Elephas maximus indicus: one gene and its partner. The protein of the gene in region 1 binds, or shares a complex with, the protein of each later gene. Links are inferred from orthologs where the notes say so. Each region holds a gene or a part of one and is shown in the gene's direction. Other genes may lie near its edges.

Evidence for each region.
Region 2: STRIP2 (region 1) and STK25 share a complex: the UniProt entries of both Homo sapiens proteins name them as parts of the core of STRIPAK complex. The link is inferred for Elephas maximus indicus from reciprocal best matches to the Homo sapiens genes STRIP2 and STK25.

Annotation. Positions count from the first base shown.
Region 1 is NC_064826.1:20,705,377-20,712,738, reverse strand, and holds the start of STRIP2 (striatin-interacting protein 2), read left to right. Parts: upstream 1-2,532; 5' UTR 2,533-2,571; coding exon 2,572-2,697; intron 2,698-7,326; coding exon 7,327-7,362. UniProt on the Homo sapiens protein: Plays a role in the regulation of cell morphology and cytoskeletal organization. Required in the control of cell shape. Calmodulin-binding scaffolding protein which is the center of the striatin-interacting phosphatase and kinase (STRIPAK) complexes.
Region 2 is NC_064824.1:143,369,356-143,376,717, reverse strand, and holds the start of STK25 (serine/threonine-protein kinase 25), read left to right. Parts: upstream 1-3,101; 5' UTR 3,102-3,212; exon of another isoform or gene 3,213-3,273; intron 3,274-3,400; 5' UTR 3,401-3,489; coding exon 3,490-3,519; intron 3,520-6,620; coding exon 6,621-6,851; intron 6,852-7,111; coding exon 7,112-7,168; intron 7,169-7,250; coding exon 7,251-7,359; intron 7,360-7,362. UniProt on the Homo sapiens protein: Oxidant stress-activated serine/threonine kinase that may play a role in the response to environmental stress.

The DNA of each region.
Region 1 (7,362 bases):
GTTATTTCTTACAGGCCTTATTTCCAGATGCCTTCTATCTTATGACAAGCTCTGAAAGTCTGGGTCTGTAATGAATGAGCAGACTGTCTGATCTTTACTGTCTCCCATTCCTCTAGGGGGTGGAAAAGATAATGGAGTGAGGTCTCTCCTCCATTGATTCTTTGCAGTCTCCATAGCACCACTTTTTCAAATCTCTTCAAAAGTGAAGCCAGATGGAGCTCTAGGCTCAGCAATTGGCTAGAGATGAAGGCCAGAGGGGACTTGAGAGGGTCCTCAACTCTCCTCCCAGGTGAAAATTACTCTCCCCAAGGATAGGCAGGAGAAAGAAAAAAGCCTCAAAACTGGCCCCTCCTATCTGCTGTCTCTCCTGGGGGTCCTGCTGGTTGACTAGGTTCACATAGAGAATGTGAAGTTTTCAGCCCATCAGTCCTAGCTCTGGCTGCTAGGAAGAGAGGTATTAGGAAAAGGGAAGGTAGAATAATTAATTCTCTTTATTAAGAAGCCCCCATGGGCTGTGCTGTGGCAGGTTTTACCACGCTAAAGCAGTGATGAGCTAGGCGTGGGCTGTGAATTTTAAAGCAGAGCATGCATCTCTTAAGAGTTGTGCAGATTATGCCCCCATCCCCCAGAAATTCCAAAATCAAGTAGCTTAGGCCTTGAGCCAGGGCCTTTTTTTGAAATTCAAACCAGTTTGATTCTACTAAACTAGTGGGTCTCTGTTGGGAAGAGTTTGGCCCCAGGGGACATTTGGCAATGTCTGAAGACTTTTTTGTTGTCACAGAGAGAGCAGGTGCTGCTGGCATCTAGTGAGCAGAAGCCAGGGATGTTGCTAAACATTCTACAATGCACAGAACAGCTCCCCACAGCAAAGAATTATCCAGCCCAAAATGTCAACAGTACAGAAATTAAGAAGCCATATGTTTAACATGGAGAAATGAAACATACAAAAATGAGCAAGACTTGGCCCTACTCTCAAGGAGTTTATATATCCAGGTTTGCGGGGGTGGGATGATAGAGGAGTGGGGGGTGGGAAAAGAAAAAGGAAACGGGTGGGTACAATAAGGAGATGCTGGGGAGCAGGGAAAGAAAAGAACCCAGATAGCTGTAAGAAGTGCCCCTTCTCAACTCTGCCTTGATCTGTCCCCTACAGACTAGCAGAGGGAAGCATGAGGGAGAGATATGGTTAGGAATGGGTTAGAGTTGTCCCCAAGACATGAGAAGGAAGAGTAATTCTTTTGGTGCCCTTGCTTTGGAGAAAATGTAAGGATTTTCAATCCAGGCAGGATGCCAGCCCAGCCTGAGTGGGTTGAGGAGGGTCAAAGGAAGATTTCCCAGAGGAGGAAGTGATGCCTCCGTAGAACCTTTAAGGAAGGAGTCAACCAAGAGTACAGAAAGTTTCCCTCAGACAGGACAGCATACTCAAAGACACTGAGACAAGAAAGAGTAAGATACCTTGGGAACTGCAAGGAGTAATTGTTCTCAGTGAGTCCTGGTTTCCTCATAAGTAACATTAGGTTAGTGAAAACAACCTATGAGAGAGAGGTATGATATGATACCTAGAAAGTGCCTAGTGCAGGGTCTGGCACAGAGGGCGGTTCAGCTCAGCAGTCCCCCCCACAACCTCTTCCTGGCTGTGGATGGTGATTTGGTGTCACCCATTCTCCTCTGGGGGGTTGTTTGGGGACTCCTATGACCAATCTAGACTGCCCTAGATGTTCACTGTAAGTTGCTTTTTAGGTAAATTCGAAAGAGGGCAGTCCACACAGCCTCAACTGCCCCCACCCCCCACCACGCCCTCCCGGTAACCCCGAGCCTTACGAAGGAGAGGAAAAGGAAGGAAAAGGCTGGGAAGCCAGTGGGGTTAGTGGTTTGATCTCCATTCAGCATTTACTCCCTAACTCACACCATGAGGAAGGCGCCCCAGAACAGCAAGGAAAAGCAGAGAGATGACCAGGAGCAGCCCTCAATTTCCAGAGCGTTCAGCAATCTCTGTAAACTAAAAACGTGACCCCACCCCGCAGCTCCCTAGTCTCCCAGCCAAGCCGTCGCTTCAGGGGAGGGGAGTGATGCGTTCCCTTCAAAAATTTCAGCTTGCAGGGAGGATGAAGGCCGAGATCCTCCTGTTCTGCAGGATCCCCGGCCACCTGGCGGTGCCATGTCTCCCTGCGACAGAAGCGGGATTTGGGACGCTTGCAGGAGCCAGGGTTTGAGGGGCAGGGGTCTGCGATAATGGAAAAGCAGACTGCAGTGCGGCAGGAGACGGAAACTAGGGCTCCCCTAACAGGAAACGAGAAACAGAGATACCCTGCGTGAGCTCAAGGCCCAGAATTCAGGAGGTGGAGCGGGGAGCCAGCCCCCCAGGCTCCGGCTCCCAGCGACGCCGCAGTATCCCTTGAATGAGCCCCACTTCGTCCCAGTCCCTCTCGGAGCCGCCGGACAGCCAATCGAGTCTCGGGGCGGGGCTGCGGCGAGCGGCCTCAGCCAATCGCTGCGGAGGGGCGGGGTCGGGCTCGCAGCGCGCGGCGGCAGGGGCGCCCTAGGCAGAGCGCGCAGGGCGCCGAGCAGGGCGGAATGGAGGAGCCGGCTGTCGCTAGGGCCGGGAGCCCTCCCGCCAACGGCAACAGCAACGGCGGCAAGGCGAAGCAGGCAGCGCCCAAGAGCCAAGAGGCGTTCCGGAGCCAGCGGCGCGAGTCGGAGGTGAGGGGCCGGGGAGACACCGCGGGCGGGACGCGGCGGCTGAGGTGATTTTGCCCGACCCCTCCCCCGCCCCGGGGTCCCAGGCGTCCCGAGAGCCTCGGCCCCTCGCCCCGGTGCTCCGAGACCCTGGGCCCCGGGCCCCGACGCCCCCGGCCCCCAAGACCCCGGGCCCCTCGCCCCGGTGCTCCGAGACCCCGGGCCCCTCGCCCCGGTGCTCCGAGACCCCGGGCCCCTCGCCCCGGCCCCGAGACCCCGGGCCCCTCGCCCCGGTGCTCCGAGACCCCGGGCCCCTCGCCCCGGCCCCGAGACCCCGGCTCCCTGAGGCCCCAGCACCCCGCCCCGGGGCCCCTCGAGGGGCGCCAGCGGGGTTCTAGAGTTCGGGCTCTGCGGCCGGTGACCCCCTCCATATGCCTCCTGCAGCGGGTCGGGGGCTTTCTAGTCTCTGGCCTTCCTCCGGGGCGCGAAGATGTAGCGCGTGGAGAGTACCAGACACTCGTCGATGTTCTCTCAGTCAATCGCTGCAGCCCCTTGAGGGAGGAGCTCCTATTCCCATTTTACTGAGGACAAACCGAGGGAGCTGGTGAAGTGACTGGCCCCACGGCGGGGAGGCTAGAGCTCAGCCTCAGAATAGAGGGGTCGGAGTTGGGGGGCAGTCGCCCCCCTCCTCCAAGGCTCCACAGGGTCCCAGAGCTGGCCTTCCTCTCTGCCTTGTTAGGCTCTTTAGGAGGTGCTGTCCACAAACGTGAGGATCCCCACCTGTAAGGGTTAATCAAGACAGGATTAGGCCAGGCTGTACATGAGTATTTGGATGGAACAGTCCCAGGACTCAAACCCACAGTTAGGAGACTGGGTACTACCTCTTCTCCTGAAAAGAAATCCTAACTAGGAAGATGAAAGAAGTGAATAATTGTCATCCCACCCCCCTTCACCCTGCAAACAGGCCAGTTTTCATCAAATAGGCAAGAGTAGAACTGAATCTGAGCATGGATCAAGCTAATAGAACCACAAAATGTCAGATATAAAAGGGTCTGTAGAGTCATCTGGTGTAGCCCTTTCATTTTACAGATGGAAGAGACAGAAGTGACTTGCCTGAGATCATACATCTGGTGTAATGGCCAGGAGCACCAGCTTCCTGGTCAGTTAGACCAGGGTTTGAATCCTAGCCCTACCCTTTACTATCTGTGTGACTTTTAGCAAATTACCGAGCCACTCTAAGTTCCAGTTTCTTCATCTGTATAATGGAGTTAACACTGTCTACCTCAGAAGGTTGCGATAAAGTTAAAATGAGATAATTGGATGGAAAAAGTTTAAAATCATGCTGGCACGATGTAATTGGTCAGTACGTAGTAGCTCTTAGTACTGTATTACTATCATTGTCATCATCATCACTGCCACCACCACCACGTGGCAGAGGTGGTACTAGAAGCCAGGTCTTTGTCATTTACAGCTAATTATTTGAATAGCACTTTAAAGTTAACAAAATGGTTTTCTGTATGCTTCTGTTTTCCATAATAAGCATAGTAGGAACCCACTCTGTTTTTTTTTTTTTAATAGAAGTGGAGGAAGTGAAAAGACTGGCCCAAAGTCACATCACCTTGCAGAGACAGAGCTTGGTTGTACAGGAGCCCTTTTGCCTTGCTAGGTCAGTGTATTGTCTACCACATTGTCCACCCCCTGCCTCAGAACCAACCTGGCTTTTTTAGGGCACCCTGTGCCTCCTTTCACAGAGACATTTTTCTTGCTGGGAAAAAAAATTTTTTTTTGAGGGGTTAGTTAACTCATTAATGCAACAATTATTGAGTTCTTTTGGCCCTGGTGGCTTAGTGGTTAAGAGCTCGGCTGCCATCCAAAAGGTTAGCAGTTCAAATCCACCAGCCGCTCCTTGAAAACCCTATGGGGCAAGTCTCCTCTGTCCTATAGGGCTGCTAGGAGTCGGCAATGGGTTTGGTTTTGGTTTGGTCTCTATATGCTGGGTATTGTGTTAAGTGCTAGGGATACACCAGTGAACAAGACAAGGTCTTTTGCCCTTGTGGAACAAACAGTAGTGGGGGGAGGCAGATAATATTCAAGGAAAAAAATCAAAATAATTTCAGAGCGATAGGTGCCAGATCGCCCTTCTGAGGTAGGAGCCTCTTCCGTGCATCTCAAGCCTTCCTTCAGCACCAGGCACTGATGGCACTGCATGAGCATACCAGATACTTTACAAATATCATCTCTATTAACTGCTGCAGCCCCTTCAGACAAGAATTCATGTCCCCACTTTGCATGAGCTCCGCACCCAGGGACTCCGAGCCTTCCACCTGCGCCGCAGTTACCTCCTGACTGCCCGCAGCTGCACTTCCCATGCATGCCTGGAAACCAGCAACTGCAGTGATCACCGCTATCTGTGGTCATTGCCTGCCAAAAGGCTGGCTGGGAAGATTAGCTTCCCTCCACTTTCGCTGCAGCAGGAGACCTGCTTCTACCTGTCAGTACCTCCCCTGTCACCACAGCACCCAGGTGCCAGGCTCAGATGACTATCTGTGTTCCCTTCCCTCCTTCTTTTTGCTTTCCTATAGTTTTTTTTTTTATAGAAGATAGTCCTCAGGGAAGATGGTTTTCTTTCCTCCCTTGGGCTTCTCAGTAATTACTAGAAGAGAGTTTCTGATGGCATAAGCCTTGTTCCTTGTACACCGCCGGTTTTACAGGGACACTTTTGGCCTCCTCTCTCCCAGTGGCTTACTGTATGAAAATCTCAGCCTAGAAAGGAAGCTAGACAATAATTGTTTCCTTAGTGAAAAGATTCTTAACCTAACAAAAGGATTCACCGCAGGCCTGTTTGCAACCAGATCCTCTGGTCTACTGGTTCCCAAGGTCCTTGACAAAGTTTGCACTGGTCTATGGCAAAATCAGGAAAATTCGTGGCATGGAAGTGAGTTTTTCAAAAAACGTAGTTCACTGTATTAAATTTAAAGGATGTATACAATTTAAAACAATGTTTTTCAAACTGTGGGAAGCAAGCTGTGAGTTGGGACCAGGATTTTTTTTTTTTTAAGAAATCAAATAAAATAGAACATATCAGAGTAAATCACACATAGAAAGAATAAATATTAAACTTTTGCTCCCGTTTTATATGTGTGTGTGTGTTCAGACTTGATGTAAAATGTATTTATACTTTAAGGTCAAAAAAAAGTTTGAAAAACGCTGCTTTTAATGGTTGTCCTGTATTCTAGGCCTATGTCCTTCCAATTTGGGGGACATTAAAGTATTCTTTCTTTTTGAAATATGTTTTCTGAAAAAATATTTTTAAGTCCCGATGTATCAAAATAAAACATAAATGGCCCTATATCATTCCCTAGTCCCCCAATTTTTTTTTTTTTTTAGTTTTAATTTCTACTGGTTTCTGCAATCCAGAAGTATAGAAGTCTTTGCCGTAGTAGATGTAAACACAATTTGCTTTGTTCACTATGTACAACGGTTTTGGAAAACAACTTTCTGTGAACAAAGAGCCATAAAAATATGCATCAGGTTTGATGTATTAATTCTAAGAACCTATCCTTGGGAAAGATTCTAAATACAGAAAAATTTATAAGTGTATTAAAGCTTTGTGCATGTAGTAAAGGAAAATTAAAAACAACCTAAATGTTCAACAGTAGGGAACTGGTTAAGTACCAATAGGTATCTATCCACTTAACTAACTGTTTAAAGTAATAGTCACATACACAAAAATAAAGTGATAGTCACAATAACATGAGAAAATATCTTTATAAAATGATATTAAAATTGTAAGCAGAATAAGAATAGTTAACTGCTTATATAGTGCTACTAAGTTGTAGGTGATGTTCTAAGTGTTTTTCCTGTATTAACTCATTTAGTCCTTACAATAACCCTATGAAGTAAGTCCTATTATTATCTCCATTTTATAGATGAGAAAACAGGCACAGAGAAGTTAAGTAATTTTCCCAAGATCACACAGCTAGTGTATGACAGAGTTGAGACTCCAAAATTTAAAAAATTATATGTAATATATACTAGCAGGAAATACCCTAAAATGCTTAAAAAATGTAGGGGGTGAAATTATATTAAAAATATTTTTTAAATGGAATTATAAATGTACATAGACAACATCGTAGGAAATCTAGCCTTTAATACAACTTGGAGTAGAAATGCTACTCTGTTTGAGAGTCCTAAAGTCATGGAACATTAGAGCTGAACTATATTATTATAATGAGAAACTATGGTCCACAGAAAGAGACTTACCCAGGTCCCACAGTGGCTTAATGACAGCTGAGGCTAGAATCCAGTCCTCTCTTTTGTTTTTGCTGGTCTCATTTTTCTAGAGGTCAGCTAAGGGCTCTTCTTGTCTGTTTACATAAACCAGATATGGATGCAGGTTGTAGGTAGCTTTCATATCTGTTCACACTCCTGCCCTTCAACCAGAGTTTCTGATTCTGTGTAGAAATCCTCAGCTCCTCCCTGCATTGAGTTTCAGATTTTGGCTGGGAGGAGGGTACCTCCCAGGTGAAACTTTCCTCCCTGATCTAACCTTGGCCTCCAAGAGAGGAAGAAGATGTAATGAGGATGTAATCTTCCCTTCTCAACCCCTTTCCCCAGGTTGCCTCAGTTACCACAAAGATTTCTCCATTACAGGGCTCTGTGGATTGCCCCACTCTGGAGTTTGAGTAT
Region 2 (7,362 bases), on another chromosome or scaffold:
TTTTACTAATTCTGACACGAACTGTCCTCCCTACTTGGTACTCCCTACTTCCCTGCTGGGTTCAGTTGTAGCAATGGCCATATAGAACTCACAGACCATACTCACAGTTATGGGGTTTATTAGGGAAGTAACGCATTACAATTCAGGTTCACTCAGGATACAGTTCTTCCATCAGGACAGCCTCTCCTCTGCCAGGCTGCAGGCACACCTCTCTCTGGCCCCTCGGCCTCTGGGGCAACTGTTATAAAGCTTTTTTAGCTCTGCCATAAGTGCCTAGAGGTACCCTGCCCCACTGGTAAGCCCTGTGCCCGAAGGTGCTCAGTTTTCTCGCTCTGTGGGCCAGTAAGCTCCCCATGCTTCCTCCTGGTTCTGCTGCCGCCGTTTCTCTGCTGCCGCTTCTCACCGTCTCTCACCATCTCCAGTGTTAGCGCTGTCCCTCTCTGTCCTGGTTCTGCTGCCTCTGTCTTCAGTGCTATAGCTTCTCTCTCTCTCTCTCTCCCCTGTCTCCTCTTTAAGCCTAGGGGATGGCAAAACTGACCAATCCCCTCATTAGGACTCCAGACACCATATTTGCATGGTCCCTCCCCCCCCCAAGGGTGCAGTACACCTTATTTACATTACTAGCAAGCTATCCAATCCCCTTGGTGGGCCACAAGCACCTCATTTGCATAGTCCTCACCCAGTCATTTGGTGCGAGTTACAAAGACTATGGCTAAAACCCCAGTAACATTGAGTCAATTCTGACTCACAGCAACCCTATAGGACAAAGTAGAACTGCCCCAAAGGGTTTCCAAGGTGCACCTAGTGGATTCGAACTGCCGACCTTTTGGTTAGCAGCCATACCTCTTAACCCCTACGCCACCAGGGTTTCTAGACTATAGCTAGAAGGGCCACATTAAGTAATTCACTGCACCACAGGCTGGTGGGGACAGACACTACTCCTTTGACTTGAGCATGGGGCACCTCTAATACCTTCAAACGGTTCTTTTCCAGTTTGGGGTTGTTTCCTCACAGTCGGGCGCAGATCACTACTGCTGGATACTCAAGGGGCTTCCTGCACATCTGTAGAGTTCTCTCCTGTCTCTCTGTCCTGCTAAGTCTAACCACCACCACCTCCTGGACTCTCAACTCTGATCCTCAACCCCAGGCTCCCCTTGGGTTCCCCCTCTTTCAACTGCAGTTTGGTAACTCTCTGCAAGCAGTAAACACACCTCTTGTTTTGTCACGAGGAGCCACTGAGCTTTGTTATCTAGTGTCATTGTCTTGAAAAGCATTGTTTCATGTATCTTGCCATTTATCAATTACCTATCTATCACCAATCTATCAATCAATCAATCACCTATCTATATCCATATATCTTTCGGTTGTTTCCAGCAGGAGGGAAATCTGACCTCTGTTATTCCACTTGGCCAGACACAGAGATCGGTTTTACCTTTTTTAAAGGAAAAGTCAGACGGTTGTTTGCTATCAGCTTTATCGAGATCTAATTCATACATCATAAAATTCACCGTTTTAAAGTGTCCAGGTGCAGACAAGTGGGGTCCTGTTGGGAAGGGGAGACAGTCCTGGTACAGGAGGGGGGTCCAGGGTGCGGGAGGGGTCCAGGGTGCAGGAGGGGGGGTCCAGGGTGCGGACGCGGGGTCCAGGATGCAGGAGGGGGGTCCAGGGTGCGGGGGGGGGTCCAGGGTGCGGGAGGGGGGTCCAGGGTGCGGGAAGGGGGTCCAGGGTGCGGGAGGGGGGTCCAGGGTGCGGACGTGGGGTCCAGGGTGCGGGAGGGGTGTCCAGGGTGCGGAGGGGGGGTCCAGGGTGCGGGAGGGGGGGTCCAGGGTGCGGGAGGGGGGGTCCAGGGTGCGGGAGGGGGGGTCCAGGGTGCGGGAGGGGGGGTCCAGGGTGCGGGAGGGGGGGTCCAGGGTGCGGGAGGGGGGGTCCAGGGTGCGGGAGGGGGGGTCCAGGGTGCGGGAGGGGGGGTCCAGGGTGCGGGAGGGGGGGTCCAGGGTGCGGGAGGGGGGGTCCAGGGTGCGGACGCGGGGTCCAGGGTGCGGACGCGGGGTCCAGGGTGCGGACGCGGGGTCCAGGGTGCGGACGCGGGGTCCAGGGTGCGGACGCGGGGTCCAGGGTGCGGACGTGGGGTCCAGGGTGCGGGAGGAGTGTCCAGGGTGCGGGAGGGGTGTCCAGGGTGCGGACGCGGGGTCCAGGGTGCGGGAGGGGGGTCCAGGGTGCGGACGCGGGGTCCAGGGTGCGGACGCGGGGGGGTCCAGGGTGCGGACGCGGGGGGGTCCAGGGTGCGGACGCGGGGGGGTCCAGGGTGCGGACGCGGGGGGGTCCAGGGTGCGGACGCGGGGGGGTCCAGGGTGCGGACGCGGGGGGGTCCAGGGTGCGGACGCGGGGGGGTCCAGGGTGCGGACGCGGGGGGGTCCAGGGTGCGGACGCGGGGGGGTCCAGGGTGCGGACGCGGGGGGGTCCAGGGTGCGGACGCGGGGGGGTCCAGGGTGCGGACGCGGGGGGGTCCAGGGTGCGGGAGGGGGGTCCAGGGTGCGGGAGGGGGGGTCCAGGGTGCGGGAGGGGGGGTCCAGGGTGCGGGAGGGGGGGTCCAGGGTGCGGGAGGGGGGGGTCCAGGGTGCGGGAGGGGGGGTCCAGGGTGCGGACGCGGGGTCCAGGGTGCGGCCGGCCGGGCAGCGGAGGTGGGGAGCCTGGGCGGGAAGGGCGAGGCCGCCGCGGCCGCCCCCGGGATCCGGTCCAGCTCCGGCTGGGGAGCGGAACGGGCGCGGCCGGGCGCCTTACAAGGCCGGGGGGCGCGCTCCGGGCCAAACGCGACGCCCGACGCGCCGACGCACCGACGCGCCGACGCCCAGACGCGCTGATGCCCGTCGCAGGCCACGCCCCCGCCGTCACGACACCGCCCACCCGCCCCGCGACCTGCCGGGACTTGTAGTCCACTGCGGCTCACGGCGAAGGACTCCAAGCCCCAGCGAGCCGTGCGGCGGGCCTGCTCTCCCCGTCTGCCTTTCCACCCCGCGGCCTGCCGGGACTTGTAGTTTAGCTTGCACGGCGACGGGGCGCGGGCCGAGTGGCGGGACTCTGTTTCCCAGAGAGCCTCGGGCCGGGCCACGACGCCGCCGCCACTGCCGCTGTCTCCGCCGGGCTTTCTCCGGCGCCGCCACTGCCTCTGCTTCGCGGGCTCGGGGCGGCTTCCCGGAGATCAGGGGCTGCGGGTGGGGCCTCCGCGGGCACAACGGAGCGGGCCGGGGGAGGCCGGGATGGAGCCCCCCGGAGGTGGGCCGCTGCCGGGCGGGGCGGCGCCGGGGCGGTTGGGGGTCAGGGGCCCGGGGCTGGGGGCGGCCGGGAGGAAGGTCGCCGGGGGCGGAGGCCGGACAGCGCGAGCGGCTTGCTGTCCCCGCAGTGGACTGAAGCGGCGGCCGGCCCGGAGCTGAGGCGGATCCCGGCGCCTCGTTGGGCTGCGGACGGATGGTGTGACGGCCGCGGGCAGACATGGCTCACCTCAGGGGATTTGCCAACCAGGTATGGGGCGGCCGCCTGGGTGGTGCGTGCGCGCGTCTGTGCAGCCCAGAAGGGGAGTGCACGTGAGCAGGTGTGCGCCCCAGACGGGAGTGCGCGTGAGCAGGTGTGCGCCCCAGACGGGAGTGCGCGTGAGCAGGTGTGCGCCCCAGACGAGAGTGCATGCGTGTGTGCAGCCCAGACGAGAGTGTGTGCGAGTGTGTACGCACGTGTGCGCCCTAGACAGGAGTATGTGTGTGCGTGGATGTGTACCCAGATGAAAGTGTGTGAGCATGTGTGTACCCAGGCAAAAGTGCATGTGTGTGGGTGTGCGCCCCAGATGGGAGTGCGTGTGAGTGGGTGTGCACCCCAGACGAGAGTGCATGAGTGCATGTGCATGTGTGGGTGTGTGCCCCCAGGCAAGTGAGTTTGTGAGTGTGGGTGTGCACCCCAGACGAGCATGTGTGTGTGTGCACGCCTGTGTGTGCCCAGATGAGTGTGTGAGTGTGCATGTGGGGATGTGCATCCTAGATAAGTGTACATGTGAGTGTGTGTGTGTGTGCGGGTGTGTGCCCCCAGATGAGAGTCTGAGCACGTGTGCATGGGTGTACACCCCAGACAAGCATGTGTAGGTGTGTGCCTGCGTGTGCCTCCAGACAAGGTTGTGTGTGTGTGTGTTGAGTATGCACCCCAGACAAGCGTGCATGAGTGTGTGCACCCCCAGACCAGTGTATGAGTGTGCATGCATGGGTGTGCACCCCAGATGAGCGTGCATATGAGTGCATTTGCAGGTGTGTGCCCCAATACGAGTGAGTTTGAGCATGTGTGCATGGCTGTGCATCCCAGATGGACGTGTGTGTAAGTGTGTGCATGTGTGGATGTGCACCCCAGACATGCAGATATATGTGTGCATGCAGGGGTGTGCACCCCCGATGAGTACGAGTATGTACATGAGCGGGTGTGCACCCCAATGAATGCACATATGAGCGTGTGTGTGCACAGTGTGCACCCCCAGAGAGCACTGACTGCTGAGTCTGGGAGGGGTGAGGACCCAGGTACATTTTGCTTGTGTCCCTGAGGGCTTGCCAGAGGGACATGGGTCTGGGTGTGGAGGAGAGGTTCATGGTGAACCCTGTGGCAGGGTCTGTGGGTGGCTCAGACCTGGGGAGACTATTCCATGTACACGCCTTTGTGTGACATAAGCTCTGAGTGTCTTAAAATAGAGCCAGTGGCTCTCTGCGGTTTAGAGAGCAGTGTGGGAGGAGACGCTTTATCTGGGGACGGGGTGCGCCCTCAGGGCTGGGCGGGGCTGGGCACTGGGTGGGGATCCTTTGGGAAACTGGACCTCAGCATCAAGTGAAGTCAGAGGTCAGCATCCATAGGGAGCCTGGGCCTGACCTGCAGTCATCTGGCCATGTTGTGGTCATCTGGCCACGCTGTGGTCATTGGGGCACATTGTGGTCATCTGGCCATGTTGTGGTCATTGGGGCATGTTGTGGTCATCGGGGCACGTTGTGGTTATCTGGCCACATTGTGGTCATCGGGCCACATTGTGGTCATCGGGCCATGTTATGGCGTGGCGGGAGGCAGGGCTAGTACACAGCAGTTTGTGTAGGGAGAACCCTGATAGGTCCTGAGAGGAGCGGGGCTTGACCAGGTGGTCCTTGTGTAAGCATTGGTGCATAGGGAAGACAGGACACGCCTGCGTGCATGTGTGTTTGTGTGCGGATGTGTGTACACATGTGTTCCTTGAGGGAGAGTAGTGAAGAGAAGGCCGCTCTGCAGAGCCGCTAACCAGGCTCGGCGTTTTTCTCTTTTGATTGTTCTTCTCTCACCTCGAGCCACCTTGAGAGTCTAGCATTGCTGTCTGGGAAGTGGCCATCCAACGGCCCACCCCACTGAGTGCCCTGCGTCCAGCCGCTGGTGCTGAGGAGCGTGCGGGGACTGGAGGGCTTGGGCAAGGATGACAGTGGAACAGAGGGAGCCCGTGGTGGCTGTCGTGTTGACTTCATCCTCGCTGATTGGTCTTGTTCTTCTCGACTCGGGGCAAGTTTTTCCGGCTGTGCTTCTTAAAAGTGCAGCCCCCGATGTGTGCTGGGCCAGGGACCGGCGGGAGAAACTGGGAGAATGTCCACGTGGCACAGAAGCTGGAGTCCCAGCTCAGCTCCGGACTCTGTGGGACCTGCCTGAAACCCGCGATGCCAGGGTGGGGCACAGTTGCCGGGCAGGGGATCCTGGACCATTGTGGCCCAGCTGGGGTGTGTAGCTAACGCTGAGTCAAGCCAGCAGAGTCAGGATTTGTCTTTGACGCTCCACGTCTGACAAATGGCCTGATTAAAGATGCTAAGTGGGACAACCCAGCCTCCTCGGGGCATCTTCGTGCCGTGATAGAAGGAGGTGGACGATGTCCTCCGAGTGACAGAGGGTGCAAGCTCAGGGCACCAGCCAGATTTGCTGAGTCACCCCGGGGCTTCGCGGGGTGGGGGCTGCGTGGCGTGGGCAGACCTGTGGGTGGTTTGGTGGGATGCCCCTGAGGGCCCTGAGTGAGCATGATATTCTCACTTCCAGGTGCTGAGAAAGCCCCGATGCCAGTGGGGGGGACCAGTGGAGGGGCCGGCAGGGGTGTCCCAGGCCTGGCCCATGGCTCTGGGGCACTTTCTGAATGGGCGGTTGGTGTCCTTTTAAGTCTGAGGACCAGGGGCACTAGGACTTTCTGTGATGTTTGAACCTGCAAGACTGAAGTGCTTGGGCAGAGTATGGGCAAGCTGGGGCTGATTTTGGGGGACCCCTTGCTAAGGGGTAGAGGGACTGGGGCTCTCTTCGCACAAGAGGGTGGAGGCCACTGTGGGGGCAGAGCAGGGGACCCGTTCTCATGCACTGCCCCCCTCGGCGTCCCTGACCCCATGTGGCAAGTGGTGGGTGGTACCCAGCGCACTCTTGGGCGGAGGGTGGATGCAGGTTCTTTCACAGGAAGGAGTGTGTTGAGGCACCGGGGCTGTCTCGCGGTGGTGTGGGTCTGGCTGTGGAGCTGCTGTCCCAGCCAGGGCATCTGCCTGCGTGCTGGCCGGTCGTGGGTGTGGGATGCGATGGACGTCCTGAGCAGCCCTGCCCCATCTGCTGTGCAGCACTCCCGCGTGGACCCTGAGCAGCTCTTCACCAAGCTCGACCGCATCGGGAAGGGCTCCTTCGGGGAGGTGTACAAGGGCATCGACAACCGCTCCAAGGAGGTAGTGGCCATCAAGATCATCGACCTAGAGGAGGCTGAAGACGAGATCGAGGACATCCAGCAGGAGATCACCGTACTCAGCCAGTGCGACAGCCCCTACATCACGCGCTACTTCGGCTCCTACCTGAAGGTGCCTGTGGGTGGGGGGCTGAGAGGGTCTGCTCAGCATGTGAGCGTGCTGGGACCCCATCTCCCTGGCCTGAGGGTGGTGTTACCCTCTGGGCTCTGCGGGGCCTCTGATGTGAGCACCTGGCATCTTCTGGGTGGCTGGAGCAGGGGCGTGGTGGGAGGGTGCAGGGCCGAGGGGGAGCCCTCTTCCTGTCCTGAGTTCCCTGAGCCCTGGCCGCGGGGATGCACGCCTGGGCGCTGATGGCACCCCTCCCGCGGCAGAGCACCAAGTTGTGGATCATCATGGAGTACCTGGGTGGCGGCTCGGCACTGGACCTGGTGAGGCCGGTCACCCTGGGCCCTGGGACCTGCGGGCAGTGGGGGGGGTGGGGCCGAGGCCCTGTGTCACATCTCCCCGCAGCTGAAGCCAGGCCCCCTGGAGGAAACATACATCGCCACCATCCTGCGGGAGATCCTGAAGGGCCTGGACTACCTGCACTCGGAGCGCAAGATTCACCGTGACATCAAAGGTC